Linked DNA regions of Xenopus tropicalis. The main gene of each other region encodes a partner of the protein of the gene in region 2 in a complex. Links are inferred from orthologs where the notes say so. Each region holds a gene or a part of one and is shown on either strand. Other genes may lie near its edges.

Evidence for each region.
Region 1: prpf3 (region 2) and txnl4a share a complex: the UniProt entries of both Homo sapiens proteins name them as parts of the precatalytic spliceosome. The link is inferred for Xenopus tropicalis from reciprocal best matches to the Homo sapiens genes PRPF3 and TXNL4A.
Region 3: prpf3 (region 2) and ppih share a complex: the UniProt entries of both Homo sapiens proteins name them as parts of the U4/U6-U5 tri-snRNP complex. The link is inferred for Xenopus tropicalis from reciprocal best matches to the Homo sapiens genes PRPF3 and PPIH.
Region 4: prpf3 (region 2) and lsm5 share a complex: the UniProt entries of both Homo sapiens proteins name them as parts of the precatalytic spliceosome. The link is inferred for Xenopus tropicalis from reciprocal best matches to the Homo sapiens genes PRPF3 and LSM5.
Region 5: prpf3 (region 2) and lsm7 share a complex: the UniProt entries of both Homo sapiens proteins name them as parts of the precatalytic spliceosome. The link is inferred for Xenopus tropicalis from reciprocal best matches to the Homo sapiens genes PRPF3 and LSM7.
Region 6: prpf3 (region 2) and sart1 share a complex: the UniProt entries of both Homo sapiens proteins name them as parts of the U4/U6-U5 tri-snRNP complex. The link is inferred for Xenopus tropicalis from reciprocal best matches to the Homo sapiens genes PRPF3 and SART1.
Region 7: prpf3 (region 2) and lsm4 share a complex: the UniProt entries of both Homo sapiens proteins name them as parts of the precatalytic spliceosome. The link is inferred for Xenopus tropicalis from reciprocal best matches to the Homo sapiens genes PRPF3 and LSM4.

What each region holds. Positions count from the first base shown.
Region 1 is NC_030682.2:96,972,807-96,976,761, reverse strand, and holds the start of txnl4a (thioredoxin-like protein 4A), read right to left. Parts: upstream 2,801-3,955; 5' UTR 2,788-2,800; coding exon 2,635-2,787; intron 1-2,634. UniProt on the Homo sapiens protein: Plays a role in pre-mRNA splicing as component of the U5 snRNP and U4/U6-U5 tri-snRNP complexes that are involved in spliceosome assembly, and as component of the precatalytic spliceosome (spliceosome B complex).
Region 2 is NC_030684.2:127,698,570-127,702,867, reverse strand, and holds the start of prpf3 (U4/U6 small nuclear ribonucleoprotein Prp3), read left to right. Parts: upstream 1-1,498; 5' UTR 1,499-1,658; intron 1,659-4,298. UniProt on the Homo sapiens protein: Plays a role in pre-mRNA splicing as component of the U4/U6-U5 tri-snRNP complex that is involved in spliceosome assembly, and as component of the precatalytic spliceosome (spliceosome B complex).
Region 3 is NC_030683.2:94,758,872-94,763,118, forward strand, and holds the start of ppih (peptidyl-prolyl cis-trans isomerase H), read right to left. Parts: upstream 2,801-4,247; 5' UTR 2,798-2,800; coding exon 2,732-2,797; intron 1,856-2,731; coding exon 1,791-1,855; intron 537-1,790; coding exon 513-536; intron 1-512. UniProt on the Homo sapiens protein: PPIase that catalyzes the cis-trans isomerization of proline imidic peptide bonds in oligopeptides and may therefore assist protein folding. Participates in pre-mRNA splicing.
Region 4 is NC_030682.2:61,893,525-61,897,577, forward strand, and holds the start of lsm5 (U6 snRNA-associated Sm-like protein LSm5), read right to left. Parts: upstream 2,801-4,053; 5' UTR 2,684-2,800; coding exon 2,638-2,683; intron 711-2,637; coding exon 615-710; intron 1-614. UniProt on the Homo sapiens protein: Plays a role in pre-mRNA splicing as component of the U4/U6-U5 tri-snRNP complex that is involved in spliceosome assembly, and as component of the precatalytic spliceosome (spliceosome B complex).
Region 5 is NC_030677.2:92,742,502-92,746,513, forward strand, and holds the start of lsm7 (U6 snRNA-associated Sm-like protein LSm7), read right to left. Parts: upstream 2,801-4,012; 5' UTR 2,775-2,800; coding exon 2,769-2,774; intron 2,565-2,768; exon of another isoform or gene 2,550-2,564; coding exon of another isoform or gene 2,478-2,549; intron 1,706-2,477; coding exon 1,615-1,705; intron 1-1,614. Other genes in the region: sppl2b (signal peptide peptidase-like 2B), read left to right, coding at 3,533-3,580. UniProt on the Homo sapiens protein: Plays a role in pre-mRNA splicing as component of the U4/U6-U5 tri-snRNP complex that is involved in spliceosome assembly, and as component of the precatalytic spliceosome (spliceosome B complex).
Region 6 is NC_030680.2:38,861,957-38,865,954, reverse strand, and holds the start of sart1 (U4/U6.U5 tri-snRNP-associated protein 1), read right to left. Parts: upstream 2,801-3,998; 5' UTR 2,733-2,800; intron 1,928-2,732; 5' UTR 1,727-1,927; intron 1,667-1,726; exon of another isoform or gene 1,580-1,666; intron 1-1,579. UniProt on the Homo sapiens protein: Plays a role in mRNA splicing as a component of the U4/U6-U5 tri-snRNP, one of the building blocks of the spliceosome. May also bind to DNA.
Region 7 is NC_030677.2:103,365,108-103,369,041, forward strand, and holds the start of lsm4 (U6 snRNA-associated Sm-like protein LSm4), read left to right. Parts: upstream 1-1,134; 5' UTR 1,135-1,160; coding exon 1,161-1,163; exon of another isoform or gene 1,164-1,176; intron 1,177-3,934. UniProt on the Homo sapiens protein: Plays a role in pre-mRNA splicing as component of the U4/U6-U5 tri-snRNP complex that is involved in spliceosome assembly, and as component of the precatalytic spliceosome (spliceosome B complex).

The DNA.
Region 1 (3,955 bases), on a different chromosome or scaffold from region 2:
TTGGAGCAAGGTAGAATAGATTTTTTACTTTAGTACTTACTTTTTTTTTTACTTTTAGTGTTACTTTTCCTTTAATCATTTTTAGAAGCAATCAGATTAATCAGTGGTTTTCATCCAAACAGACCCCCCCCAAGGATAAATAAAATAAAAGTGATTGACTTCTGAGGATTAGAGTGTTTATTTATGTGTGTTGTGAGCATTACACAACAGCAGAGCTGCTAAGTTCTCTGGAAGCAATGCCACCAAGGGTTGTTGGCCAATCAGAGGCAAACAAAACTAACAGCATAAAGTGTGATTGCAAACAAAAGTTGTAAATGCCATCGCCACTGGACTTCAGAACAGTGGAAACACATTCTCTGGAGTGCTAAATGGCGGTTAAATACAGCTTGACACAGTTCCCCAGAAAGAAATTCAAAACTCTCAATACAACTGTATAACATTTTTACAGTTATATTTATTAAAGGGTGAGTTTTTATACAATGATAACTAATAACTAAAATGTTAACTAATCTCTAAAAATCCAAAAATAAATAAAAGAGCTGTGAAGGAGAAGATAAAAACACTGTAGTGAAGGAATACAGCACTGTACAGTCTGACTGGTAAATGTTAAAACATAACTTGTAGGAATAAAATACAAATCATACTCCCCCCCCCCCCCCCCCTTAAAAAAGATCCTTCAATCACATGGATAACTTTCTTTCACAGGCAACAGATATTAACCAAATAATGCAGCTAACTGTGCTGTCACTCAGCATCTGCCTTCATCATGACCTAGCAGGCTAATATTTCATACCAACACTGATGTAAGAACAGTCTTAAAAAAGCATAAAATATTTTGTAACTTAAAAAACAGCAACAGCCAAAAGCTTAGATACAGACAGAACACAAGTCAGCATAACAGAAATGCATATATGATGCACCATTTATCACTCGGAGCATGATCTAGCCATGTGGTAATGCACTAAGCACCTAGCTTATCTCTGCACCAGAAGAAATACCTTCAAAACAGCAGTTACGGCACCATAGATGAGGTAACAAGAAACACCATAATCAATAAACAATTTCCACACACTTAAAGGGGAATTAAACACCCCAAAAAGCAAAATACTGTACAACTGCTCAGAATACTCTTCTCAGCACTTTTACTATTTACACTGAACATTTTAAGATATAAGCACTTTGCAATAATAATATAATTTATTTGAAACCACACAGCTCCCTACTGTTCTGATCAGCTGGCCATCATAAAATGATGTTACTGAGTTACTCAGTAGGCAATATCATTGACCAAGGAAACCTCTCTGCTCAGTAACTACCTTAACAGAGCACTGCAGTTTTAAATTCATTATATCAGTGTACATTATAAAAGTGCTCAGAAGAGCATACTACCAATTTTACATTAATTTCTTTTGGGGTGTTTAGGTCCACTTTAACATTTATATTTTTATGTTCTAACTAAAAATGTAGGCAAATACCAAAATAGATATATAGTAATAACATACTTCATCACAAGATATTCGATTAATGGGCCCAGTCCTGTGATCTTCAATCACCCCAGACAGTAGACCTCGAACGCAAATACAGCAAGGCAGTGTATGTGCTTTGGGATGCCTGTGAAATAACACAGAATATACAGAATCTCGCCTTTTCTATGTTTTTTCTTTATTTCCAAACATGAAAATACTTAATCTTTGAGGTTCCATATGTAGAATCATTAGCACTCACACAACATTGGCCAAATTTGCCTTTGGGCAGTTACCCATAGCAACCAATCCATGATTGGCTTTTTCAGCTAACTGCATTTAGAACAATGAATGCAACAACTTGATTGGTTGCCATGAGTTACTATTCAAGAGCAAAGTTGCCCAGTGTTGATAAATGACCCCCACCGTTCTCAGAAAACATATGAACAAATATTCCAAGGGGCCTCAACCTACACAGCACCCTTACTTGATGGAATGATGTCACAATTTTTGCTCTTCTACCCCTCTCTCTAAACTAAGGCTCCCTGTAATGATCACCAACTAAACTGGTAAAAGAAATGATCCCCTTTTTATATAGAATAATTTACCACTAGAGCATTTCCTAGTTATTTTCTCTTAAATTTGCAAATGTATTTGAGTCGTGCATTAGCCTTTACTTTCTTCATCCTAAGTTCAAGCTGAATATGCTCCATACTCTGTTTAAAAGCGGCATCACCATAACCCTCTGTCTCCTGGTTGTGACTTTAGATCAACATGTTTCCTGTAGAGCTCCATTTTCTTATTTACACTGCTATTTGGTTAGTAGGGGTGTTGACCAAAGTAACCAGTCAGTGGTTCCAGTCACTGGCTTGAAGATAAATAGGAGAAGGCCTGAATCTATATTAATATGTATGAAAAAGACCCACTCCTGCCAAACCATTTTTAACTATGCCTTGAACCAGCTAGAGAAATCACACATGTGGGGGGTCCCCACCACTTATGTCCCCAAAGGGGGGGGCAGCTGCTGGAGGAATGCTTAGAGGCAGGTGTAGGGGATAAGGCGGCAGGCCCATACATACAGGCATCTGGACCTTCTACCTGCCTGAACCTTTTTTAATCCAAACCCACCTGACCTGCAGGTCTTCGATACACTGCTATAAATATATCTTACCTTTTCAGCTATACTGTACAAAACTTCATCCATCTTCATACAAGTTGGATCCCAGTCATGGCCAAAACGTATAACTAAAACTCTGTCTTCCTCAGACAAGATTGCCTGGTCGACCTGCCAGCCATTGTGCAAATGAGGAAGCATGTACGACATTTTGGCAGCTTTGCTTTAAAGCTAAAAGGACAAGAAAAGAAGTATTGCAAGAAATGAAACACTTTTCTCAAATGCGTGAAGATACAAACATACTCCCATCTACACTGACAGGCTAACATGCTAATACTTTCAATTAAAAATTATCTGGGCAAATTTTAAATATTTTTAATGGTTAAAGAGTCCGAAGTATCCCCCAAGATTATAGTTTACAGATGAGGATACAAATTGTAGCGTAATGCTGCTCGTAACAATCCGACATGAATCTGGGAAATGTGGGGCTGCAGTAGAGGCAGGGGGATTGCCTGAAGGCCACTTTGGGTGAGTATTGGTGCAAATTCATGTGAATCAATAGCAAGCTCCTGAGTTATACCAACAAGCTGCCCCAAAGCCTTATATATATATATATATATAGGCTACATACCACCCAACTGTGCTGATTTAACTAATACAGTCCGCAGTCCCGTACGGTTGTTTAAAAGTCTTGCGGTGCTGTTGCCGTGTAGCCCCTCGCTTCCTGCCGTACAGCGAGCCAACGCACCGCAAGTCTCATCTCGCGAGAAGGTGACGTCACATCAATACTATAAACGTGGTTACGCAGCACGTAGCTGCCTTGAGGCCAATGTCAAAGGAAGATGGAACTTGAGTTGAACATGTGCTGTTTCTTTTCTTTATATGCACAGCCCAGTAGCTGCAGCTAGAGCCTATGCCCCAACAGAACCTTTAAATTAACTAGATTAGACTAGACTATTTAAATTTAAATAGATTTAGCTTATGCCAGGCACAGGGAACAGAGAAATAAGGCTTTTAAGTTCCTGGTTGTGGTCATACCCCCCCAACTGTCCCGCTTTTTACGGCGCATCCCGCTGTCCCGGATAGTTCCATGAATGTCCCGCATTGCGGGACATTCATGGAACTATCCGGCACAGCGGGATGCGCTTGCTGTAGCCAGATGTTCTTGCTTCTTCTGCGGCTTCGTTATGCCTCTCCTTGTGCAGCGCGACAGGCCCTTTTATAAGGTTGCGCCTGTGGGTGTGACGTCATTACGCACGGAGCGCAACCTTATAAAAGGGCCTGTCGCGCTGCACAAGGAGAGGCATAACAAAGCCGCAGACGAAGGCTGCGCCTATGGGAGGTACTGTGTATTGGGGGGGGTACTGTGTATTGGGGC
Region 2 (4,298 bases):
ACTTACGATACGAAAGTTCCGAAATTTTCATATTGAAACGATTGTTTGCGAATTGTGATCCGATAGTCACGAAATTTTCGTATCCGAACAATTGTAAATGGCGGTAAAACCTGACTTTGAACCTTCTGTGCATGTTTTTGGAAGCCTCCCATAGGACTCAATGGCACTCTGCAGCTCCAACCTGGCCCAAGGAAAGTCTCCCATAGGGCTCAATGGCACTCTGCAGCTCCAACCCGGCCCAAGGAAAGTCTCCCATAGGGCTCAATGGCACTCTGCAGCTCCAACCCGGCCCAAGGAAAGTCTCCCATAGGGCTCAATGGCACTCTGCAGCTCCAACCCGGCCCAAGGAAAGTCTCCCATAGGGCTCAATGGCACTCTGCAGCCCCAACCCGGCCCAAGGAAAGTCTCCCATAGGGCTCAATGGCACTCTGCAGCTCCAACCCGGCCCAAGGAAAGTCTCCCATAGGGCTCAATGGCACTCTGCAGCTCCAACCCGGCCCAAGGAAAGTCTCCCATAGGGCTCAATGGCACTCTGCAGCTCCAACCCGGCCCAAGGAAAGTCTCCCATAGGGCTCAATGGCACTCTGCAGCCCCAACCCGGCCCAAGGAAAGTCTCCCATAGGGCTCAATGGCACTCTGCAGCTCCAACCCGGCCCAAGGAAAGTCTCCCATAGGGCTCAATGGCACTCTGCAGCTCCAACCCGGCCCAAGGAAAGTCTCCCATAGGGCTCAATGGCACTCTGCAGCTCCAACCCGGCCCAAGGAAAGTCTCCCATAGGGCTCAATGGCACTCTGCAGCTCCAACCCGGCCCAAGGAAAGTCTCCCATAGGGCTCAATGGCACTCTGCAGCTCCAACCTGGCCCAAGGAAAGTCTCCCATAGGGCTCAATGGCACTCTGCAGCTCCAACCTGGCCCAAGGAAAGTCTCCCATAGGGCTCAATGGCACTCTGCAGCTCCAACCTGACCCAAGGAAAGTCACCATACCGAAGCTTGAATGAATCCGAAACTTTTGTACTCTGCGCGACAATACCGTTTTGTCACGTAAATTTTGATGCATAGTACAAAAAAGTCTTGCAAATTAGCAAAAAAATGGTGAAAATACGTACAGTATGAAATATGATTTTTTTGTATTTGGAAGCGATCATACTTTGATAAATGGGCCCCTTAGACCAAAGGTTGGCAAACTTTTGTGGGGGATTTCTTTTTAATAAACAAAACCTGAATGCTATTTTTTAATAGTTTAAGGTCACAGCACCCCAATAGGAATTGGCCAGAATCCAAATTGACAGTATTTGCTACTCTTTAACAGGGCCACTATCACACATTGTCTTAGTTCTCTACTAGAGTCTTTTATGAAGAAAATTTGTACTGAACAATGCTAAATGCTGTATATTTGGCTATATTGTAGCTTCAGCAATAGTATTCCGTGGGTAACATCAGCCCGCCAAATCCCATCTGTGCGGAGATTGCGCGTTGCTAATAAAGTTATTGGGAAAAGAAATCCCAGCGTGCAGCGGGTTTCTCGGACACGTGATGCGGGTCAGAGTGGGCGCCAGACTGCATGCTCGTAGGACTTCCGGTTCCGTTTTGACGTCGGGTCTCCGTTAGTCCCCGGGTAGTGAAATCACAGGGAGAGAGGAGAGTGGCGGCTCTGTGGGTGAGTATGGGAAGTAGTTAGCGTGTAAGCTGTGTAACATTGCGTTTGGGCTGGTGTAGGCCTGAAAGGCCTCGGCCTGGAGTAGCTATTGATGCGGGGGAGGGAGGGTGTTGTCAGGGATAGATTTACAGATCGTACGTTCTGTGCGATTCCACGTAGGCAATCGTTGTATCTGTATTCGCGCTACGTTAGTGCAGTTTATCGTCATATAATGAAGCGCAAAATAGGGGCAGCCCAGTTTAGGGAAAGATACCAAACTTTGAGTTTCAGTTGAGGCACCACTTACACCGCAGGTTGGCAGGCCGGTTTGGGTCAGGACCTTCTGTCGGAACAAACATTAGGCTGGGGTCCACCGGAGTATCAGTCATAGTAAGTGGCCTTCCAGGAGTAAAACATTCTTCCCACATTTTCCCTATCTGCCCTTTAGTTGGGCCCCCTAAGAGCTTCAGCAACACCGCCTGGGAACCACTGACTTACACTGGTTGTATTTTGCTGTAGTTTATTGTATCTCATGGGTTTCACAAACACATGCGGATTATGTAATAAAAGGCACTAAATTTGCCCAGGTGCAATAACCCATAGCAACCAGTCAACAGGTATCATTTAATGGATACTTTTTATTGGTTGCTGTGGGTTACTGCTCCTGGGCAAATTTAGTGCCTTTTATTACATATGGGGGATCATTCCTACAGACCTCCCCCTGAGAACACGAATCGCTGAAATTTTTGCATGCCACACTGACATACCTATTCTGACCCCAGTAGGATATTTGCAAAAAAATCTGTCCCATTGAGAAACAAGAAATGTGTTGAAGCCAGGATGCTACTGAGGGTTGCTTAAAGGAAAACTATACCCCCGAACAATGTAGGTCTCTATAAAAATATATTGCACAAACAGCTCATATGTAAAACCCTGCTTCATCTAAACAAACCATTTTTATTAATATATACTTATTTAGTAGTATTTGCCATTGGGTAATCCTAAATTGAAAATTGCCATTTTAAGAATTAAGGGCCGCCCCCTGGGATCATAGGATTCACAGTGCACACAAACAAGCCAAGGCACACATACATGCTAGGCCCCATCAGCCAATGAATGGGCAGAGTTCTGCCTTTTACTCCCACACTACTTCCTGTTACAGTTAGAGCTGCATTATTTCCTGTCAACTGATCTCTGATTGAACACACAGCCCATCACTAAATGGCGGCTCAAGGGAAAAAGATGTAAAATGGCAATATTTACTGATATATATATTCCGGTTTGGTGAGATTCTTTAATAGTTCACTTAACATAATATAAACTGTTGGATAAGTATTCATTTTGTGGGTATAGATTTCCTTTAAGGTTGGTTATATTCCATAAAAAAGTAGTATGGGAATTCCTTTTGGGTTAAAAAAAAGCTTTTTGAGGTCAAGCATTTTGTCTGCTAGCCCCTAAACCTGTTATAGCTTTACAGATATAGGAAAACTATTTTTCATATTTATTTTCATAGATATTTGGGCTAGTAAGCAAGTCTTTATTCCAAATCTTGCTGTATAGGATCAATTTTTTTTTTTTAGCTCTAACTAGGGGAGCAAAGGGGCATTCCCTAAAGATCACCCCCGAATCTGTATTCTCCTTGCCCTCCACCATTATAAGAAGTGGGGAACATACTTCTATAGAGTTATTACAAGTACATAAAGTACTAGAATAGTAAATGTAACATTCACTAAAATTAGCAGGAATATACTAAAATGAAGTTAGAGAAAGATAATGAATTTTTCTCTGTGGGTACAGAGTGATACTTTGCCTCTCTGGGCAAATGCTAAATTCCTCCCACTGACACAGCATGCAGTTGAATGCAAACATTTGGTCCTCCCTGACCAAAATACATATTAAGTTAATTTTTCTAATTGAAAAGGCAGTGATCAAGCTGAAGGTTTTGGAATGGCCCTCACAATCCCCTGACTTATCTGCAAGCCTGTTGGTAGATCATAAACATTCATAGCACAGGCCACAGAATATCTCTGCAGGGATCTGCAAGGAAACGTGGGCAAAAATCCTTGAATAGAATTTTGTTCTTTTATTAGGCAAAAAACTTATTTTGGGATGACATGTCCTTTAATTACATATGCCATTTGGCAAGGGGTGCCCAAACTTTTTGAGGAAAAACATGTTTAATATGTCTGTTATCTATCTTCTTTATTAATAACATTGGCAAGTTTCCTGAATATAAGCAGATGCGTATATGTCTATACGTATATATCAGTCTGTAGTACAACTGAATCTGTTAGATTTGTCTGTTTGCAAAATGGGGTACATATAGGGCAGCATGGGGGGTTAGCTTTGCTGCTTCCAAGAGCCTTGTCTTGGATTTGATTCTGACCACATACAAAAAAACACCGTTTAGTGGAAGCTCAAGAATAACATGAGGCCTGGGTGCACGTTGCCCATACTTGCTGTTTGAGGAGACAACCCAGGATATGAGCTGGCACTTAGAGACCAACAAACAAATTATAATGTAGACTTTATTACACTAACCTGTCAGGATACAAAAAGCATTATGCCTTTCATGATAAAGTGTACAAGGCTTTTTAGAGGGGTTATGGAGTAAAAGCACTGTGTTTGCCCAGGAGCAGTAACCCATAGCATTTACTGGTC
Region 3 (4,247 bases), on a different chromosome or scaffold from region 2:
GTAGAATTGCTATTGTTTCTACCTCTATATCCGATGATTCAGCCCTGAACGTCAATGGAGGGTATAAATAAACTCAGAACTAATTTGCAAATGCAATCTGCAGTAAATATTCTACTACCCTTAAAGCAGATGTCAGTATTACAGCACAGGTGCTAAAAATATCTGCGGTGCACTATTTAATATTTTAAAACAGTTATTGTCTTTCCTGTCAGGAAAGCTGCCATATTGCTTATTACGTTTAATTTCAATGTACTATTTTGAGTATTAGTTGATCTACAGAAAAAGTATTGTTGCTATTATATTCATAATCCCCCACCAAGCAGCCAATGGACAGTTTAGCTTCTTGCAGAATTTGCTACACAATGAATGAAAACAGAGAAGCACTGAAGCCAGTTTCTTAGAACTTAACTATGAGGATTTGTGGAAACAATTGTGCTTCAACATTTATTCCAGTCTACTCCCATTACTTAGATCAAACCCCCGATCGGGGCAAAAGAAGTACAGATACAAACCTAAATTCGCCAGTACAGAATTGCCTGAAATGAGAAATAAAGAATTATTTACAATTAGCAGATACTTTACCTAACGTAATCTGTTTGCACAACAATGCATTCCTGCATAGCACATAATGCATTAGTCTACAACAACTTCTTTTTGATATCAGAAATAGCCCCTTAGACTGATGCCACATGGGTTGATTCTGGCATCAGCTTTAAGCATCAGAAATGGGAAATTCATGAATTTACTTTATCCTCCATTTACTTTTACTTCTAAACACTAAAACTAAATCTCCTTCAGTGCAGGTGACAAATGCCCAAAGTTTCCTTACAACCAGCATTGATGTAAATTGCTGGTGAGAATATTAATGCCTGTGGGAAGGGACCTTTGGATGGTTTGAAAAAAAGAAACAAGGGGTGTAAAGTAGTGCTGTCAAATTCTTTTAGATGCAGAGGGCTGTATATTAAAGAACTTAGTTGTGATGAGAGAAACAAAACAGAAAGGAACTCTATGTGGATAATATATTATTAGTATAATTGTAAAGCTTTAAGCTATTTAAAAACTGTTTGCTAGATATAATACAGGTATAGGAACCATTATTTAGAAGTCCATTATCCAGAAAAATCAGAATTACAGGGAAAGCCATCTTCTATAAACTCCATTATAATCAAGTAAATCAAATGATATAAAGTGATTTCCCTTTTCTCTGTAATAATAAAACAGCACCTTGCACTTGATTCTAACTAAGATATAATTAATCCCTATTGAAGGCAAAACAATCCTATCAGTACTGTCTATTTTGTAGGCTCGACAGATAGCTGGCACATGGGGAGATGAGTCGCCCGCGGCAAAACTCCCTGTTCGCGGGCGACTAATCTCCCCGAGTTGCCTTCCCCTGCCATCCCATCGGCGACAATGTAAGCCGGCGGTGGGATGGCAGACGCGGCGAGGCGATTTCGGCAAATCGCCGAAAAAGACTCGCAAGTCTTTTTCAGCGATTTGCGCGAAATCGCGCCGCCGCATCTGCCATCCCGCCGGCGACTTACATGTTCGCCGGTGGGATGGCAGGGGAAGGCAACTCGGGGAGATTAGTCGCCCGCGAACAGGGAGTTTTGCCGCGGGCGACTAATCTCCCCGTGTGCCAGAGCCCTTAGTCTTACTGATCTAGTGAGACTAAAATAATGACAGCAAACATCTGATTGGTTGCTTTGGGTTATGGGCAGTTGCAAACTTTGTCAGTGTTGCTATATAACTACTCCAGAGTTTTGACAGCAAAAGTCATGCAACTTCACCTGAAGTTCTCTGCAGTTTTTGGTACAATATCTGCAAAAAGTTCCACCTTCATCCGGCCCACCTCCTGAAAAAGTAAATGGACATTAAATTAGTTTTTTTTGTGAAAAGACAATTAGCACATTGGTATTACAGTCATCATACCCTTCATGTTTTCCCAGAATATATGCCTTTCTTCACAGTTACACACAAGCAAACTAATTTGAAGTTGAATAGCATAAAATATAGCAATTACAAAACTTTAAAAGCTTACAAAATTAGGCCACCCAATGTTTTTAATATTCTGTATAACTTTAATTTAAATAAATGCAGAATAAATAGGTATAGCAACAGTTTGCTTGAAAGAACAACTTTTTCAAAGACACGGAATGGACAAATTAGCCCTCATGTTGACACATTTTCCAAAATGTCTAGTTTCCATGTTGACTTTTTTCCATACATTCTAAGGATAATATTCAGAGCTTTCCAAGATGATCTTTTTTCCCCTAATTGGTTTGATCAGCCGTCTGGTGGCTTTACAAGTTTTGTTTTGGGCTCTCTTTTGGGGTTCACGCCCAGTCTTCCTTGGGGGCAGGGTTCATGAATTGGGATGCCATGAGAATTTTAGAGTTCATATTTAGGGATTTTCTCAGGGCTTAGAGTGCATGTTTAGGACCATCAGTAAAGTTTTAGGGTTTAGAGATCGGAAAGAACAGTGGGGCCCATACACGTGGAATACAATTTAAATACATAATAATTTCTGCTATGAATATAAAAATCTGTCCTTCAGTCACAGTACACACTTAGCCTTCTTGCTAATACTACACTACACCATGCAGCCCCATTTGCTCAGCTGCAGTTTGTAGGTGGTGTTGCATGGCGAGATTCTTCTCAGTACGTAAGTATGGAATCATCATTTAATGCAGGGCTTTCTCAATGTATTATACTTAACACCGCGTGTTACCTGCCCCCCGATACTGATATCGAAGAATACGATGGGATTGTTAGCGTTGGAAGCCGGTACCGCCATTTCTATCTGGGGCAAAACCGGAAGAGAAGAGGCGGCGCTTCAATCCCAGAAGCGGCTTGCTTGTAGGCTGTATGCGCAGGCGCAGTGCATTGTTTTACACGCTTTATTCGCATGAAGTTGGTGGGCGATGCGATATGCCTGCGCTTCTAACCTTGCAGGGGATTATGGGAGAGTGGCAATAGCAGTACGTTTACGCGTGACTAAACCTGATTTACTCATTGACATATAAGCAGTACAGAGGTTTAGTTTTGGATGGAGTGGAGTTGTAGCATTCACATGTTCCGTGCAATTAAATTTATTTCTGTTGAAGCTATCCATATCTGTAAATATCCATGCTGTCTGCCTTGCTCTCACATCAAGCAGTGCTAATACAAGCGCCTCAGCGCTCCACACCGGAAACGTCTTTTTTTTTAGTTCCTATTTCAATGTGGCCTGATCACAGCCGTGATGCTGTGTGGGCGAGAGTGCGTTTATAACAGAGCTCTGCTTCTGTGTGGGTGTATGTGTGTATTTATGCAGTAGGTAGAATTATGGTTACCTGTGGCTGCTGCACATAGGGAACACACCAAATCCCCTCTGTATTCTGTGAGGAGAAGGGAGGTTTTATTGTTTGTATATCACTTCCCATAAAATCTCCCTCTCCACTGGCAGCTTTGTTGCTGTTTGGCCTTCAAAACTATTCCATAAATTCAAAGTACAGGGAAATCAGGTTTCCCAAGAAACTGATATGGGTATGAAACCTGGGCCCTAACAAATAAATTGACTGGGGAATAAAGTATATCTAAAACCTAAAAAGTTAATATAAATTTGTCAGTGTCCTCTTCTAGTCACATTTGCATTTTACATCAATTATTTTTTAAAGCTTTTAATCTGCTTATAAACAGCGCCGCCTACTGGTCAGCTCTTACAACCATACAGCTGAGTGAGTATACATTGAGAAGGAAAACAGATAACTGTTCTGATGTTAAGGTCCCCATACACAAGGCGATTTCACTCGTTGTGCGACGAACTATTATATCGACAAACGATCGTATGGCGACCGGGTTTCCATACGATATGCCATCCACAGGCAACGATAATTTGCAATTTTTACAATCGTACATCTACGTACGATCCAATGTCGTGGCGGAAGCGGTATTTATTTATTTATGTTCGTTGACTTCCGCTGCTGGCAATCATGACATGCGCAGAGAACAATCGTTCGAAGACAAATGTCTGACACTCACACCAACTGGCAGATTTTATCATTAAACGACTAAAATTTTTAAACCTGGCCGATCGATTTTGGGGACAATAATGTCGGGTCGATTAGTGGGCCGACGATCGTTCGCACACCATCAACTATACGATAACTTAACGATAGTATCGGATCGTTCGGGAATCGGTCGTTTGACAGTAAAAAATCGGGCCGTGTATGGGGGCCTTTACTCTGTTCAGGAAAGACATAAGA
Region 4 (4,053 bases), on a different chromosome or scaffold from region 2:
TGCCCCCCTAGTACATTGGTGCCCAGCAGCAGTGCCCCCCTAGTACATTGGTGCCCAGCAGCAGTGCCCCCCTAGTACATTGGTGCCCAGCAGCAGTGCCCCCCTAGTACATTGGTGCCCAGCAGCAGTGCCCCCCTAGTACATTGGTGCCCAGCAGCAGTGCCCCCCTAGTACATTGGTGCCCAGCAGCAGTGCCCCCATAAGTCAGTGTGCCCCGTGGCCCCCCCTAATACATTGGTGCCCAGCAGCATTTTACTCTTCGGCGGCTTCAGCAGCATCTTCCCCTCACGCGCGCCGCCTCTGCACTTCTGCCTACACGCGACCGCACACAGGCCCTTTTATAACGTTGCGCCCCGTGCGTACTGACGTCACCCGTACACACGGGGCGCAACCAATGACAGGGCCCGGATTTTTTTTTTAAAGTAAAAATTGCGGCCCTGCCTACGGCACACCAGGCAACATCTCGCGGCACAAACAGTGGTTGAAAAACGCTGATCTAGAATGCTGAATGGAGTCTATTGCTGATGGTAAATCGGTATTTTATTTTGGTACATTCTAAATTAGTATAACTGAAGCAATAAACAAAAAACTAAGCGTAAGCAGACAAAGGATACTGACAAAATCATCAAAGCCAAGAAGTGTTCCAACAATTTCTTTATCACTCTTCATAACAATATGAATGCGAGATCCTATGCACTTGTCCACAAGCTCTGCAAGATCAGAAATAAAAAAAAAATTAAGAATACACTTTAAAATAAGGCAAAAATAAAGTAAAAATACATGTTAAAATACAAAAAATAATTTTACATTGTGTATATATTAATTAGGTTTGAAAGTAAAACTTGAACAATCAAAGGTTTCTAAATTGTGGTGGTAAATACTTATCGCCTGTCAAATATTTTTTGAACTTCAGACTAAAAGCACATTTTAGTATAAAAATGTATTTGAATGTACTTGGATCTTAAGCTGCATAACTGAAAGGAAAGAGGGCGACTAAACCTAAGTCTGAAAACCACTGATTTAAACCTTCAGGAATAAAAAAAAAAAAAAAGAAAAAAAGCATAGTTTTGTTTGGTAGTTTGCAGTAGAAAGATGTATTTAGCCATTTTTGCCTTAATAAAAATATGTACTTTCGGAAAATATACGGTTTTCGAGGGGCTCCGTATTGTTAGGACGTCTTATGGTACATAATACACATACCGGGTGCTTCTATTGCAGCAGCCAGTATCAGAGATGAACATTTCTATTTCATCTCGGACACTTGGGGGCTGATTTACTAACCCACGAATCCAAATGGGAAAAATTCCGATTGGAAAACGAACATTTTGCAACTTTTTCGTATTTTTTGCGATTTTTTCGTCGCCGTTACGACTTTTTCGTAAATTGTCGCAACTTTTTCGTAGCCGTTACGACTTGCGCAAATTGTCATGACTTTTTCGTAGCCGTTACGATTTGCTCGTATCTTGTCGCGACTTTTTCGTATTGAGCGCTCGTAAACTGCGGGCAAAACTTTCAGACTTAGCATGATTTTGGAAGCCTCCCATAGGACTCTGCAGCTCCAACCTGGCCCAAGAAAAGTCACGATACTGAAGCTTGAATGAATCCGAAACTTTCGTACTCGGCGCGAAGGCTACGAAAAAGTTGTGACAATTCGCGCAAGTCGTAACGCAACGAAAAAGTCACAACAATTTGCGAAACAGTCGTAACGGCTACGAAAAAGTCGCGACAATTTACGAAAAAAATCGCAAAATACAGACCATTACGAAAAAAACGCATTCGGACACTTTCGGACCGTTCGTGGATTAGTAAATCAGCCCCTTGGAGTCATTTAGAGTAGAAAGACACGGTTATCTATTTCGGATTTGGTTGAATGTGCACTTTTAAAAAATATAAATGGTATCCTGGGGTAAACCTAATGTTTCAGGATTTTTGGCTATGGAATCTAAAGTATGCCCTATTCTGCTGTAACACTTTTTTCAATAACTTACTGCTGGGAGTTTTCGATCTATAGAAGTCAGACATCTCCATAAAATTATACATACCTAGTATAGGCACATTCAAGAGATATTAGGCTTTCTGAATAAGTTGAAATTTTATCCATAAAATAAAAGATTTTTCTGGTATAAATCCCTATAATCATATTTTTTTTTTTTTCTTTTATTTGCCTTTAGAGCTCTAAATCTTGTTCCAGAAGTGGAAATACACAAAAACTCAGATTTAGAGCTCAGGTTCTCAAGAAAAGAATGATGTACAGTTTTCCTAGGTAAACTAAAAATCAACTAGAAAATAATTCTGTTCTTTTTTTATCTGCTTACAATTAAAAGGTTCAGTATAAAATATAAATTGTCTAACGCAGGGCTGCCATGCGGCTCCATCATTTGCCCGATAACCTAAAGCACGTCACCTAGCAGGTGCTGTTTAACCCAAGCAACAGTGCTAACTCCAGGTACACTACATCTGTACTTCACAACCCTAGTAAGCCACATACATATCAGAATTCTACAACAAATATGAGTTCAAAGAAAGCATGTCGCATGAAATAGGACAGCGCCATTGAAGATAAAAGCCAATTAGTAACTGCACACTAAAGGTCTCGAACTGGAATAGATCTAGTCACATATTTCCTAGAGTCCTTACCGAGCGGGAGAAGCTGCGACGGATTGGGAGTCACGGTAGCCGCCATCTTTGATATTCCTTACTTCGGATTTCCTCCTGTTTTCGTAATCTCCCGCTGTCACCTACCTAGAGCAATCGATTGCCGATCTCATTATGCAGTCGAGCGCAAGCGCTAAAAACTTCCTGGTTAGGGAAGATTAATCAACAGACGAGCAGAAAAAGGCCTTATATGGCGGAAGAGAGCGAACAGGGGACGTGGGCGTGGCTAGAAGAATGTTTCAAAGCAATGATTGCAAAAGTTGTTGTTGCGCCAGAATAATGAATGTTCAAAAAATCGGCTTGGCTTCATTGCGATTGCTAATTGGCCGGGTATTTTGTCAGATGTAGAATAACCAGCAGCTCTGGACTCTGTACAGCATATTAACCATCCACTTCAACCACTCACGTTTAGGTAAATTAATAGGAGCCCCGATCAATACAGAACAAATTACGGGGGCCCAGGTGCCAACTTAGACGAGTACATTCGAAGTATAGAACTTTTTCAGATGTTTTTGTATGTAGCAGGTGCTCAGCTTGAATCAGCTCTTAGGAGGCATGAAAGTACCTCTGGCCTGTGTTTTGTTTAACTAAAAGGGGAAAGGATTGCAGTCACTTCTGTACCTAAACATTAGCATTTATAGGGGATATACTTTATCCAGAAAATTATATATTTCTGTTTTAATTTTTTGTAGGGTAGTGTTCAATTACAAAACTCATAAATATTGTTTTATCTTAGAGGACAAGAATTTGTAAGCCACCCCTTGATACTGTACTTTAGAGGCATTATGCTGCTTGCCTGCCCTCCAAGGTGTTGAACAACTGCACAGTTTGCTTGGTTCCTGCACATTACATGAGCATAGTGTTGAGGGCCATAGATGATTGATATTAGTCACCTTTTTTTTAACTACTTGTATTTAAACTTTAAAAATTCAGCATGATTCATTCAAAGTCTCTGCTGCTACAAAAAAGTTTAGTTTTTGTAACTGTCATTAAAACTTCTACCTAATTTCAAGATTTCTGCATGTAGAGTGACAGTGTGTCATTTGCTTACTAAAACTCAATGTTTTGAAACCTAACATTCTGAAATTTCCAGAACCAGTTCCCAACTTCCTGCTAAGATCACTTAGAAACCTTCTGTTTACCTAAGCCTTCATTTAGTTTTTCTCAACTGCTGCCTTTTTTAAGCTTTGAGATAAAGAGCAAATAATTATGTCAAGGGCTTACCTGTGGATTGGTAATCACGTGGGTCAAAATATAATGACTGATACAAAAACGTGAGGTAGTAACTTTTGCCATCCAACACCACGTCTGTCGGAAGGGAATGCTGCATGCTGCTCCTGCAGCCACAAGGATAAAAACTGATGGTGTTGGAAAGACTTCTTTTTCTCTCAATGTAAT
Region 5 (4,012 bases), on a different chromosome or scaffold from region 2:
ATTTATATACAAAGTTCCTGCTAGCACTGCTGGACAATAATTTTGAGAACCAGAATAAAAGGTGTTCCCCTTAAAATAAGAATCACTCCCTTTACATTTCCCTATGCATTGGCTATACATTAAGATTTTTTATTTGAATAAAAATATTTAAAATGAAAAATGCACTTGGTTTATTAAAATTACCTAGAGCTGGAGGAGGATCCACACATACATTTTAAGCCCTACACACACAACAAATTGTGGCGCACACAAAAAAAGTATGTGAACACACTGGGGCAGATTTATCAAAGTCTGAATGGGTACGATTACAAAAAATTTGTATTTTTTCTAATTTATAGAACTTTGTGTATTTTCCACAATATTTTTGTTAATTTCCGCAACTTTTTTGTGCTTTGAATAAATTTGTGAGACAAAATCGAAATTATCGCAACGACTACAAAAGTTTTGAAATTCATTCAAGCTGCAGAGTGCCATTGAGTCCTGTGGGAGGCTTCCAAAATCATGCATTGAAGGTTCAAAGTCAGAAAGTTTTTTGCGCCGGATTGTTTCGTTCGGATACGAAAATTTCGTAACTTTTGGATTGTACCATTTATTTAGATGAAGGTTTACTGAAGATGAAGCAGGGTTTTAAAAAATCCTGGAAGACTGATAAAAGATGGCGGCACTTACAGGGAATGTACTCCAGGCTGGAGGAGCACTGGCTTGGGTTTGAAAGTTAGTAATTATACTTACTAGGAGTGGGTGCCTAATATGTGAGAAACTTGCCAACCAATGGCAGTGTATGGCAGGCTACCAGGGGAAGCAATGCACAAAAGTAAAAAGAGTGAGGGTGGTTGGGGAAGGAACATCAGCCCTGCTGCCTAAGGAGGAAGCAACCCCTGCAGCACCTCTCTCCATTTTCTATTGCACAAAATAAAGGATAGTATCTTTTGCTGCAAAGAAATGCACAGATGAAAAAATGTAGGTCTTTACCTTAGAAGACCTAAAGTTGAAAAATCAGAGACAAGTCAGGAACATCCAGCTGCATTAATTAAAATGCAATCACTTTGCAAATAAACAGCCCTAACAATTTGGATTTATTAAAAATGTGCATATTTTTCATGTGATCTGATAACAATAGTGGGAATTTACAAAACTGGAGCAATTAGCAGTTAGAAAGGTTTCATTTAGACATAAAAGGTTGAATATGTTCTGAATATGTTCCAACCTAAGTTACTAACTTATCTCTGAAATTGTAGCACACAGCAACTATTCTGGAAGTAATTCAAGTACTTAAGCTACAGCATAACTGCCACGTCTTGCATACTGTAGCATACTGTATACAGACAAAATGTAGATTGCAGGTTTGATTTTCCTGTTGAATCAAGGACTACATCTGTGATTGCTGTAGTCCTAGTTACTTGCCTGCATAGAGACAATTTTGATACAATCAGCCCAATTTTGCCCACCTTAAGGTCCATATCAGTGAAAGACACACTCATTCAGCGACCTTGTCAAACAAGTGAATCTTATAACGTATGGCAAAGCTTTAGTAGCAGTACTTTGTAGTAATAATTGTTTTAAGAATGCATGGCAAAGTAGAATTCTTTAGAAATTCACATTTAGAAAGCATACCTTCTCTTCCACCCTGAAACTTTACTCGAATTGCCTTGTCTATGTATTTGGAGAGGTCTAGAATGCTTTCCTTTTTCTTTTTCTCTTTGTCCTGGGGAAAAACAATCAAATATGTTTATACATTTAGAGCTGCTAAGAGCAATACTAGGCTATATAGTAAGAGGATTTGAGAAAATATGGCTCCAAAAGTTTTAAAGCTCAGATAAGGTTAAAGAAAACTATACCCCCAGAATGAATACTTAATAAAAAACAAATATAATCTTTTGGTTATGTTAAGTGACCTATTAAAGAATCTCGCAAAACTGGAATATATCTGTAAATATTGGCCTTTTATATCTTTTCCCTTGAGCCACCATTTAGTGATGGGCTGTGTGCTCCCTCAGAGATCACATGACCAGAAATAATGCAGCTCTAACAGGGAAAGGTTTGGAAGCAAAAGACAAAACTATGTCCATTCATTGGCTGATGTGACCTAGCATGTGTGTGTGTGTGTGTCTCTGCATTTTTTGTACACTGTGAATCCTATGCAATCCTTAATTCTTAAAATGGCTATCTTCTACTTAGGAGTACCCAATAGCACAATCTGCTTAAAAAAAAAAAAAAAAAAGTATATTTTTATGAAAATGGTTTTAGATAAAGCAGAGTTTTACATTTCAGCTTGTTCATGCAATATATTTTATAGAGACCTACAATGTATGGGGGGTATTGTCTTCATTTAAGAGGGGGGGGGAAAGGAGCACCATTCAAACAATTGTTTTGATCAGTTTGTCATTAGATCTGTATCATGACTCTCCTAGGGCTCCTTGCCTCTCCTTCCCTGGAACTACATTTAATTCGGATATAATTAAGAGTTGTTTACTGACCACTTTATATACAACACTTTGGATAACCCAGCTCATAAAAAGAAGAAACACACGGCTGCGAATATACCTCATCGCATGAGTACTTTGCCGCGTGCGCGGCGTCTTAAGTGGATGTGATAGGACGCATAATTACGGTTCCTCTTAATCACCTCCCACTGTTTTACAGTCTTTAGCAATATGTTCTAATCATGGGTACCCGCTACGCAATAAAAAGAAAAAACGTTCCATAATCCACTATATATGACTGACCAACTCTACCGGACGAAAGCTCACTAAATTCTACACACTCACCGCCATCTTCCCGCGCCTCTGTTCCTAGGGGCAGGCGTACCCATTTTAATCAGCTCTGGGGGCACCTGTACACCTAATTATGATTAATTTTTTTGCTCCTCCTAACTTCTCTCTTCCATCCTTATGAAGTACTAGACTAAACTAGTTAAGCACGTTAAAAGTTTTCTTAAGAAAGTGCTTCGCTATGTATTTTTTATTTTCACTGAGGAATTTCATTCACACCCCCTACGACTTTAACTGGTTTGGAAGAGTCTACTTTTTTTTCTCTTTTTTTTTAAATAGCTTTATTGACTGCCCTCGACAATTATAATGTCGCCGTGACTAGGTGTATAACCCTAATTTAATAAATAGTTGTGAATGGTAACTTATTTTCTGTCTACAAATCGCAAAATTATATGATGGATTAAGTCATTTTGAATTACCCACACTCTGTAAAAAATATTATGCCTGTGGGGCGGGCGTTTTTTTTTTTTTTCACCCTTTCACTTTTTTCTGGAATCACTTTTCCATAAACAAATATGGCGTGTAGCGTGCGTAGTTACGTCACATCCTGTAGTCATCTACCATTTTCATTACAGCTTTCTATTGAACTGCTCTACTATGGGGCTTGGCCTTTGGGACCTGTCACTAATACATTGCGAATGGGAGGATAACCTGAAGACTTGGATGTAGTGCGCAGGCCCAGGAGATGGCGCTGAGTAACAGTTAACAAATGGTGCTTGGCGGTTTGAGTGTTGCTTTGCTAAGGCTCGTGACCTGGAAAAATGAAGCTTCTTTTGATTTTCCTGTTATGGGGTTTGTTTGTAACAGAGGTGAGTGATATTCAATTACATTTTCATAATGCAGAACATCATTTTTACGCGTTTTATTTACCTTATTTTCGCCATTGCCACCTGTATATTGAAGGTGCTGCTGTTTTTCGAAAATTCACTTTAATTTTTTTATACCTTCTGAAAGCCCCGCCCATCCATGATTTTCCACCTTGTTCCGAATTCCTGACTTTTTCTGTGTACACACGCTTTGCTGATCCCCAGAAGCTTCCTATACGCAGTATTTAAATATTTAACTGGAGTTTGCTGTCACGGGCTTCCTAGTGACAGTCATTAAATTCGTATAGATTGTTGAATAAATATTTCCTGCTACGAATTGACCTGATTGAGCCAGTATTGATATCTGAGATATAGGGTCTGTTGTAGGCCCTACTTTGTGTTCTTCTGTCTGAAGAATATGAATACTTCCAAGTG
Region 6 (3,998 bases), on a different chromosome or scaffold from region 2:
AATACAGCCCAGAAAATATGCAGACTTGGCTAATTATAAAAGCTAAAACAGACGTATTACCTTTGAGGTTTGCTATTTAGTGGTATATTCTGTATAAATATTTTGTTCTGGAAACACAAGACAGTGAGGTACAAGCATAAGCAACTGTGTAAAAGATGAAAATAGCTAGTGGACAGACAACACAGGGCAGATAGGTAGGTGCTAGTTAAGGGATCAAAAATCCCAAAAGAGAGTTAGAAAATAAATAACACCCGTGAGAATATGGTACTGATGCTGTAAGTACCTTCATACAAAAAAATGTGTTTTCATTAGGAATAACTTTTAATAAATGCCTAGTAATTTATATATTAAAAAAAAAAAAACACACACCTCTGGTGATCAAACAACACTTCCTTAAAATTAAAATATACAATCTCCAACTGTAAAGGGGATATAAACACAAAAATAAAAAAATCTTCTTAATGAAAGAAACTGATGTTCTAAGGAACTTTCCAAGACGCAATTATTACTTTTATAACATAAAAATCATTTCACAAAATGTAGCCTTTGTCTGTTCCAATTGCAACTACTCAGCTCTTCTCAACTGTTTATCAGTTGGCTTCTGCTACATTGTTACAAAAAAGCAAGCATCATGTCACCACTCTCTTCTTTCTTTGGCAGGTGCACATGTGCAACAGAATGAAATGCCAAACTTAAAGCAAAAAGCTCTTTATTTTTTACTCCAAGGGCTGTGACAGACAGGGAGATTAGTTGCCGCGAGACAAATCTCCCTTGTCATGGACGACTAATCTCCCCGAAATGCCATCCCACCGGCTAGAATGTAAATCGCCGATGGGATGGCATACGCGGCACCGCAATTTGCCGAAGTCGTGGACGTTTCCTCTCAAGGCAACTTCGGCAAATCGCAGCACCGCTTATGCCATCCCACCGGTGATTTACATTCTAGCAGGTGGGATGGCATTAATATCTGGGGTGTGCCTAACATTTTGCCGCTCGGGATACAAACACAATCATTTTCACCACACACCTGTATAAATATCACATCCACTGCTCTGGTGGTGCAAGCCTTCCATAGGACTGGCAGGTCCCTGTCTCCAGCAAATAGTATTGTAAGGGAGCCGCTCACACACAACGATATATGCCGTTGGGGAGCTTACCCCATTTATTGTGCCCACCTAGATCAATGGTTTTTTTGGGGAGGGGGTTCAGGACATACGTCCCATCCAGGCACAAGGAGGGTGTAGCCCCCGAAACATTGATCTAGGTGGTCACAATAAATGGGGTAAGCTCTGTTACAATACTGTGCCATCCCCCAGAGATTTTAACTTTCCTTCTCCTTTAAACAAGACCCTTCCTGAGCATTAAAATCTAATAACAACCTTGTTTTTCTTGAGAGAATCCAAGGATAAATGGCAAATTCTGCATTATGATGTTCAGCATAGGGCTGATGAATTCATAACAGGGCCAGAGTTATCATTCGAGCTCTTAGAATAAAAAAGGCAGGTACGTACAAGACATGCTTACAAAGCATGAAGGCGATAAGTAACTGGAAGCAAGGAGTTTTTGGTTGAAAGGGTACCTGTGCAATCCCCGTGGATCGAATGCAAATATTCCCGCCTCCTCTCACTCCCTAAACTATACAACGCATTCAACCAAACTGAAAAATTTCTTTTACGCATCCTATTACATTGTGTCAACATTCAGCAGTGCAAATTATTATTCTTACTTTAGTTGCCGTGTATGTATCGTTTCCCAAAATGTCTGCCACCACCGTCGCAGTTGTTACGTAACAATATTTGTCCGTCGCATTCTTTAATACGTCATACGCCCTACCCTCTCACCGCGCTTATATGCGACGGTCCGATTCCTACAGATCCGGAGGTTGGCTCAGACTATGTTCTAAATGTTGTTGGGTTTTTTCTGTTGTCTGAAATAATGCGGAAAAGAATTCAAATTGCTCACCATTACATTTTGTTTTGACAAACGATACGGTTATCCGGAAGTGTTTGACGCCCCCATATAACTATAGATAAGGAGAAGTATAAATAAATACAATAAGGAAATGATGAATGTAGTTATTGTAATTGCGATTCCCCAAAAAAGTGGGAACTAACATTTATTTTGGTAGCTGAAGTACACTTAGTAAAAGTGGCATAGCAATGCTAATGTCTTCTATATCTGATGGGTAAATGATACTTCAGTTGTGTTTTGCAGTGGTGGAAGCTGCCAAGGGCAAACTATTTAATGGTGTCCCATTAAAAGTATATATTCATTGACTGGATGGAGGTGAACATGCAGGAAACGCAGAACTCCTGTGTGAGCCAAGAGCTGCAAATATCCTGTAAATGATATCCTTATAAACAGTACTTAGTGATGAATCAGATATAATCAGCGCTCAGTGATGTAATCTCATGAGTTACTGGAACTTATGTATTATAATAAATAATGCACCCCCTGTTGTAATATATATCACCTTGGAGTTACATGACCTGTATTAAAAAAATCGCTATACATATTTAGAAATATCAAAACTTTCTAGTTTTACTAACAGTGGAAAAAAAGATTTTTTATAATTAGATACCATGTCAAAGCACAATCCACTCACCAGGATTCTAAGAAAATGAAAATGTGGAGCCTAATTCCTGCTAGGGGGGAAAGTAGTGTTGGTGGAGCTTATAAATCAGACATACAGACTTACTCATGTAAGCACAGGTTCAACCATTGGCACATACATAGATTTAGTAAGATATACACATGGCACTGACAGCACTGCACTAATTGTATTTCGGCTCCTCCTCTCTGGAACAGTACTAACCTCTGTGATTTAGCAGAAAACATTGTGCATATTGGCTGAGCAGCCTTATTAGTGCCCAAAATCTTGAGAACCTGTAGCAAATTTCCCAGGGACTGAGGGCATGTAGGGCTTGTTGCCCCTCAGTAACTCTGCCTAAATATAAAGGTTATATTTTCTCAATTGATATTTGCTCTCTACCCATTTAAAGGAGAAGGAAAGGCTAATAAAGAGTTAATCTCTAGCTGCAGGCATACCTTCAGTTCTTTCAATAGTGCCCTTAAAGGAACAGTAACTCCAAAAAATGAAAGTGTATAAAAGTAACTAAAATATAATGTGCTGCTGCCCTGCACTGGTAAAAGTTGTGTGTTTACTTCAGAAAGTCTACTATAATTTATATAAATAAGCTGCTGTGTAGTATGGGGGAAGCCATTCAAAGGAGAAAAGGCACAGGCACAAAGCAGATAACGGATAAAACACTATTGTATTCTACAGAACTTATCTGTTATTTGCTATGTAACCTGTGCCTTTTCTCCTTTTTTCCAGCTTGAATGGCTGCCCCCGTGGCTACACAGCAGCTTATTATATAAATTATAGTAGTGTTACTGTAGCAAACACACCAGTTTTACCAGTGCAGGGCAACAGTGCATTATATTTTTATTACTTTAAAGTTCTTTTATTTTTTGGTGTTACTGTTCCTTTAAGTCTCCCTATATTTCTCCCATTCAGATGATCAGAACACTGAGCTCTGTAAAGAAGGTTCCCATAATGCCTCACTTCTTAATCTCAAGCTGCAGGCATACCTTCAGCTGTCTCAATAGTGCCCTTAAGTCTCCCCATATTTCACCTGTTCAGAAGATCAGAAGCCAAACAGGAAGAAAAAGCACTGAGCTCTGTAAAGAAGGTTCCCATAATGCCTCACTCATGCAGCAAGACCAAGACCGGTGTACATGCTCAGTTTGTAAGACTATGAGGAAGCTTCCTGCTGATTGGCTCAGATCCACATTCCTAAGGGGGGGGGAGAGAGTTCTTAGCATTCTTGAGGGAGGGGGGAGCAGGAGAGAGCTGCGTGTCTCTGGCACAGGAAAACAAACAGACAAGAAATCCTGTATCTTTTGAAAGAGAAGTCAGTGCAGCGTTTCTGTATTATGTCTCCTTTCCCCTTCCCAGTTCATCCGCTTGTTGGTGTCTTTTTCCACTAACATTG
Region 7 (3,934 bases), on a different chromosome or scaffold from region 2:
AATTTCTTTTTCCATAGATTATTAGCAACCCACATTAAATCTAATTGCTTGCCTGATACCCCAGGCTGGTCCTCCTGTTCCCTACAAAATTGCACTGGCTTAGGGTATTTCTAAAGAAGCTGCTCTTCACCATATTGTTTGACTTCTTTGTTCCAGTCCAGGCAGGCATATAAGCAGTAAAGTGAAAAACTGAGCTTTTTCGCCCTAACGCGCCCAAAGAAATGAAGGCAGAAGAGAAGATTGCACCAAAAGAGCTTCTTCAGAAATACCCTGGTCCAGTGCAGTTTTCAGCTAATAGGAGCACTTTCCCAGGGCATCAAGTAAGTGATTTTAATAAACAGGATTAATATTTTTCAAATATATGTCAAACCCAAAAATAATCTTTTTCCTAATAAAAGAAAACTTAATTCTAAGCAACTTTGCAATATACATTCATTACATATTTGTAATGGTTTTTGAGTTATTTGTATATATATACCAGCTATTAAAAGCAGTGTCTGCTTGTCCTTTTTATTCTCTACCCTGAGGGGTCTGGTGTTTGAAACAATGTAACAAACACCAGCAGATTTTACAGACCTGACTTGCTGGAGGAGCCTGGCACTTGCAACATTGTTTAAAATGTAACAACCAGGAGTTCAGCAAATGCTGCTTTCTATAGCATTACATTACATTTACAAATAACTTTTAAAGCACTAATAATCTTTAATAAATTGATATTGGAAAGTTGCTTAGAATTGTTTTCTTTTATTAGGCAAAACATTTTTGGGGGGTTGACATGTCCTTTAGCGCGCTGTGACTAGATATAATGAATAGCAGACTACCCTTCCACAACTACCAGAAACCACACTTCCCTTTGTTCGCTTAGTCATACTAATTTTAGAATACTATATAATCCCCTCTGCACCAAATAAATGTTTGTTTTTCTACGTCAGTTCCCTATAAGCAGAAACTACAGAACTCCTCTTTCCCTTAACCACGATGGCAGCGCCTTATGATCACATGGCCTGTTTATTCGACACCACCATTGGTGGATAGGACTAGCCCGATACTATTGGTACAGGAAGGTGTCACCAAAGGCTTCCTTTGCCCAACAGTCTCTGCGCTTGTTGTCTGAGCAACGGGCGGAAGTGACCGTGAGGGAGCGCGGTACAGAGCGAAACATGGCGAGTTACCTGGGTGGGACACGGGGTTTGACTACATTCGCCTGCGTTGTTCTTATAGCTAGAAATGGCGATATACTTGATTTGTGTGCTTACAATTTGGGCATGTTATAACCATTTAGTCTTACTAGTTTCTCTGTCACTCCTAGCCGGCATGTATGTTCCCGCCTGTCCTGTTAACTCATTGTTACACAGAATCGTCTCGGGTTTTTTTTAGTTCTATCAGGGTCCCGTTGCGGGCGAGCTCTGCAGCTTTATTTGTCTGGGTTAGGGAGAAGCTGGTGGAAGGACCTCTTGTGCAACATGTTTTCTTTAGATAATTGATTGGCTCATATAATCAGTGAAGGGGGATTTTTGGATACTGGTCTGAGAATTAAATATTTTACATATATTATAGGCAAACTATACCCCCTGACTGAGTACTTAACCAACAGATACATTATTTACTAAAAAGGAACCTATTAAAGAATGTTACCAAATTGGAATATATATTGGTTAATATTGGCCTTTTCCACATTGAGCCACCATTTAGTGATGGGCTGTGTGCTCCCTCAGAGATCACGTCAGGGAATAATGCAGCTCTAGTGTGTATTAAGATATTATTCATATCTTTTCACATTTAATTATAAGTTTTAGATTTCACTTTTTTGATTAACTTGTATAATTTGTGCTTAGTACAGGGCGGGCGGTTTTTCTTTGGGAGGCCCTGTAAGATGTATATTTGAAGCTTTGATATAGTATGTGCTTATTACAGGGCTTTAATGGTAACCCCGAAAAAGCTTTTGATATAGTAATGTATGATATATGCTTGTTACAGGGCCTTAATGGTAACCCTGAAAAATGTGCAAATTAAAAGTTTTGGGTATAAAAAGGGAAGTGACATGGGCATTCCTCTGATGAAGCACTTAGTGTGCGAAACGCGTTAGGAAGGAGAAAGGGTGCCAGGTAGCATGGGATGTACCTTCCATTTGGTATAGTATGTTTTATGTTATGTTTTTTGAATTTTGTATTTAAATTCTGAGCCAATAAATGGTTGTGTTTTTCACTGAATAATGTGTTTAATTATTGTATGGTATTTCAGGACCTTTCAGTGAGATACATCTTAGGTTTTCTTTCTCAATCTTACTAATTGTTATTTAATAATGCAGCTCTACCTGTAACAGGAAGAAATGTGGGAGTAAAAGTCAGAACTGTCCCCATTAATTGGCTCATGTACCCTAACATATATGTGTGTTTGTGTGCACTGTGAATCATTTCATAACAGGGGGTGGCCCTTAGTAATTAAAATGACTTTTTTTTTAACTTAGAATTATCCATGGTCACATACTGCTACAAAAGTATATTTTTATGAAAATTGTGTATTTTGATGAAGCAGTGCTTTAACTATGATCTGCTTTTTGTAAAATATTATTTTAGAGACCTGCATTGTTTGGGGGTATAGTTTTCCCTTGGCAATGTCCATCATGTGCTCTGAAAGTATGCATTTATAAAGAGTTAGTGACACAGCATATCATTTAGATTTTCTTTTTGAAAGGTCTTAGCAATCTTACTTTTTTAACTTACATCATGGGGCATTGTTCATTATTGGGTAAAAACAGATTACATTTTAAACATAATAAGTGAATGCAAAGTCCCAAATTAAAAAATTGTGCAAAAAGTCATGCATCTGTATTAAACTTGGTTAGAAAGTTCAGTAGTTAGTATAATAATAAGATAAGCACTACACTGGTTTTAATTTTGTTTCATATGCTTACTATTGAAGTGTGAAATTTTGGCATAAATTCTACTGTATGGTAATAGCTTTTATGTAATTAAGGTCAACAAGGATGCTTATTATTATTATTATTATAGTATTATTTATTATATATTATATTATTTAAAAGGACACATCATTATTGAAATAAAATAAGTTCTGCATCTTTAATAATGTGCCATCCAGCACACCACAGATAGCAAAATTGACAGTATAAATATGTTGCTTAAAACCTCTTATATTGCAAGTGTGTAATAAACAAGATAGGCAGAAATTGGAGTAGCATCATAAATAATTAAATGCTCCTTATTGGTGGGCTTGTTTCAAAGGGGAAGTTAACTGTTGCATTGGCATTAGGCATGTTATAGCTGGACCTGGCCAGGGGCTCTTCCTTTTTGGCTTTTTTCAGTCTGAAGATACAAATACTGTCAAGTTGTTGGGATCCTTGACCCTGGCAACTACAACAGATTTAATGTAAAGCTTTATTTTATTATTACAGGTCGTATTATTATTATTATTCCTTTCATCCCCCCCTTATTTTTACCTTGCAGTTTGATTTCAAAAAAGCTTTTTGATTCTTAGCATCCACATATGTTTTTGTTTCAAGCATTAGAATATCATTTTTTGCATAAAAAAAATTAAAAAAAGAAACAATCTGTGGCAAGGTGTAGCTTGTATTAGAATCCAGTTGTATATGCCTGAGTTAAAGTTAATCCTAAGGTCTCACTTTAATGACTTTAGTAAGTACAGAGTTTTGAAACCTATGTAAATGGGTTATTTTCTACAGGCCTCACACACTTGGGTCCAAAACACTGGTAAATTGACCTATTCTATCAAGATATATTGAAATTGCTCATTAGTTATGGCTCCGCTGGACTGCCTACACTCGTAGGCCCCTCTGCAACAGCAGGGTAAAAAAAAAGATGAAACAATGAAACAAATTGAAGGAGATATTGTCCTTGTGGAGGGCCCTAAAAAAAGCTCCACATTTGTTCTTTTGGCTTTCAGTCTGACAGCCTTG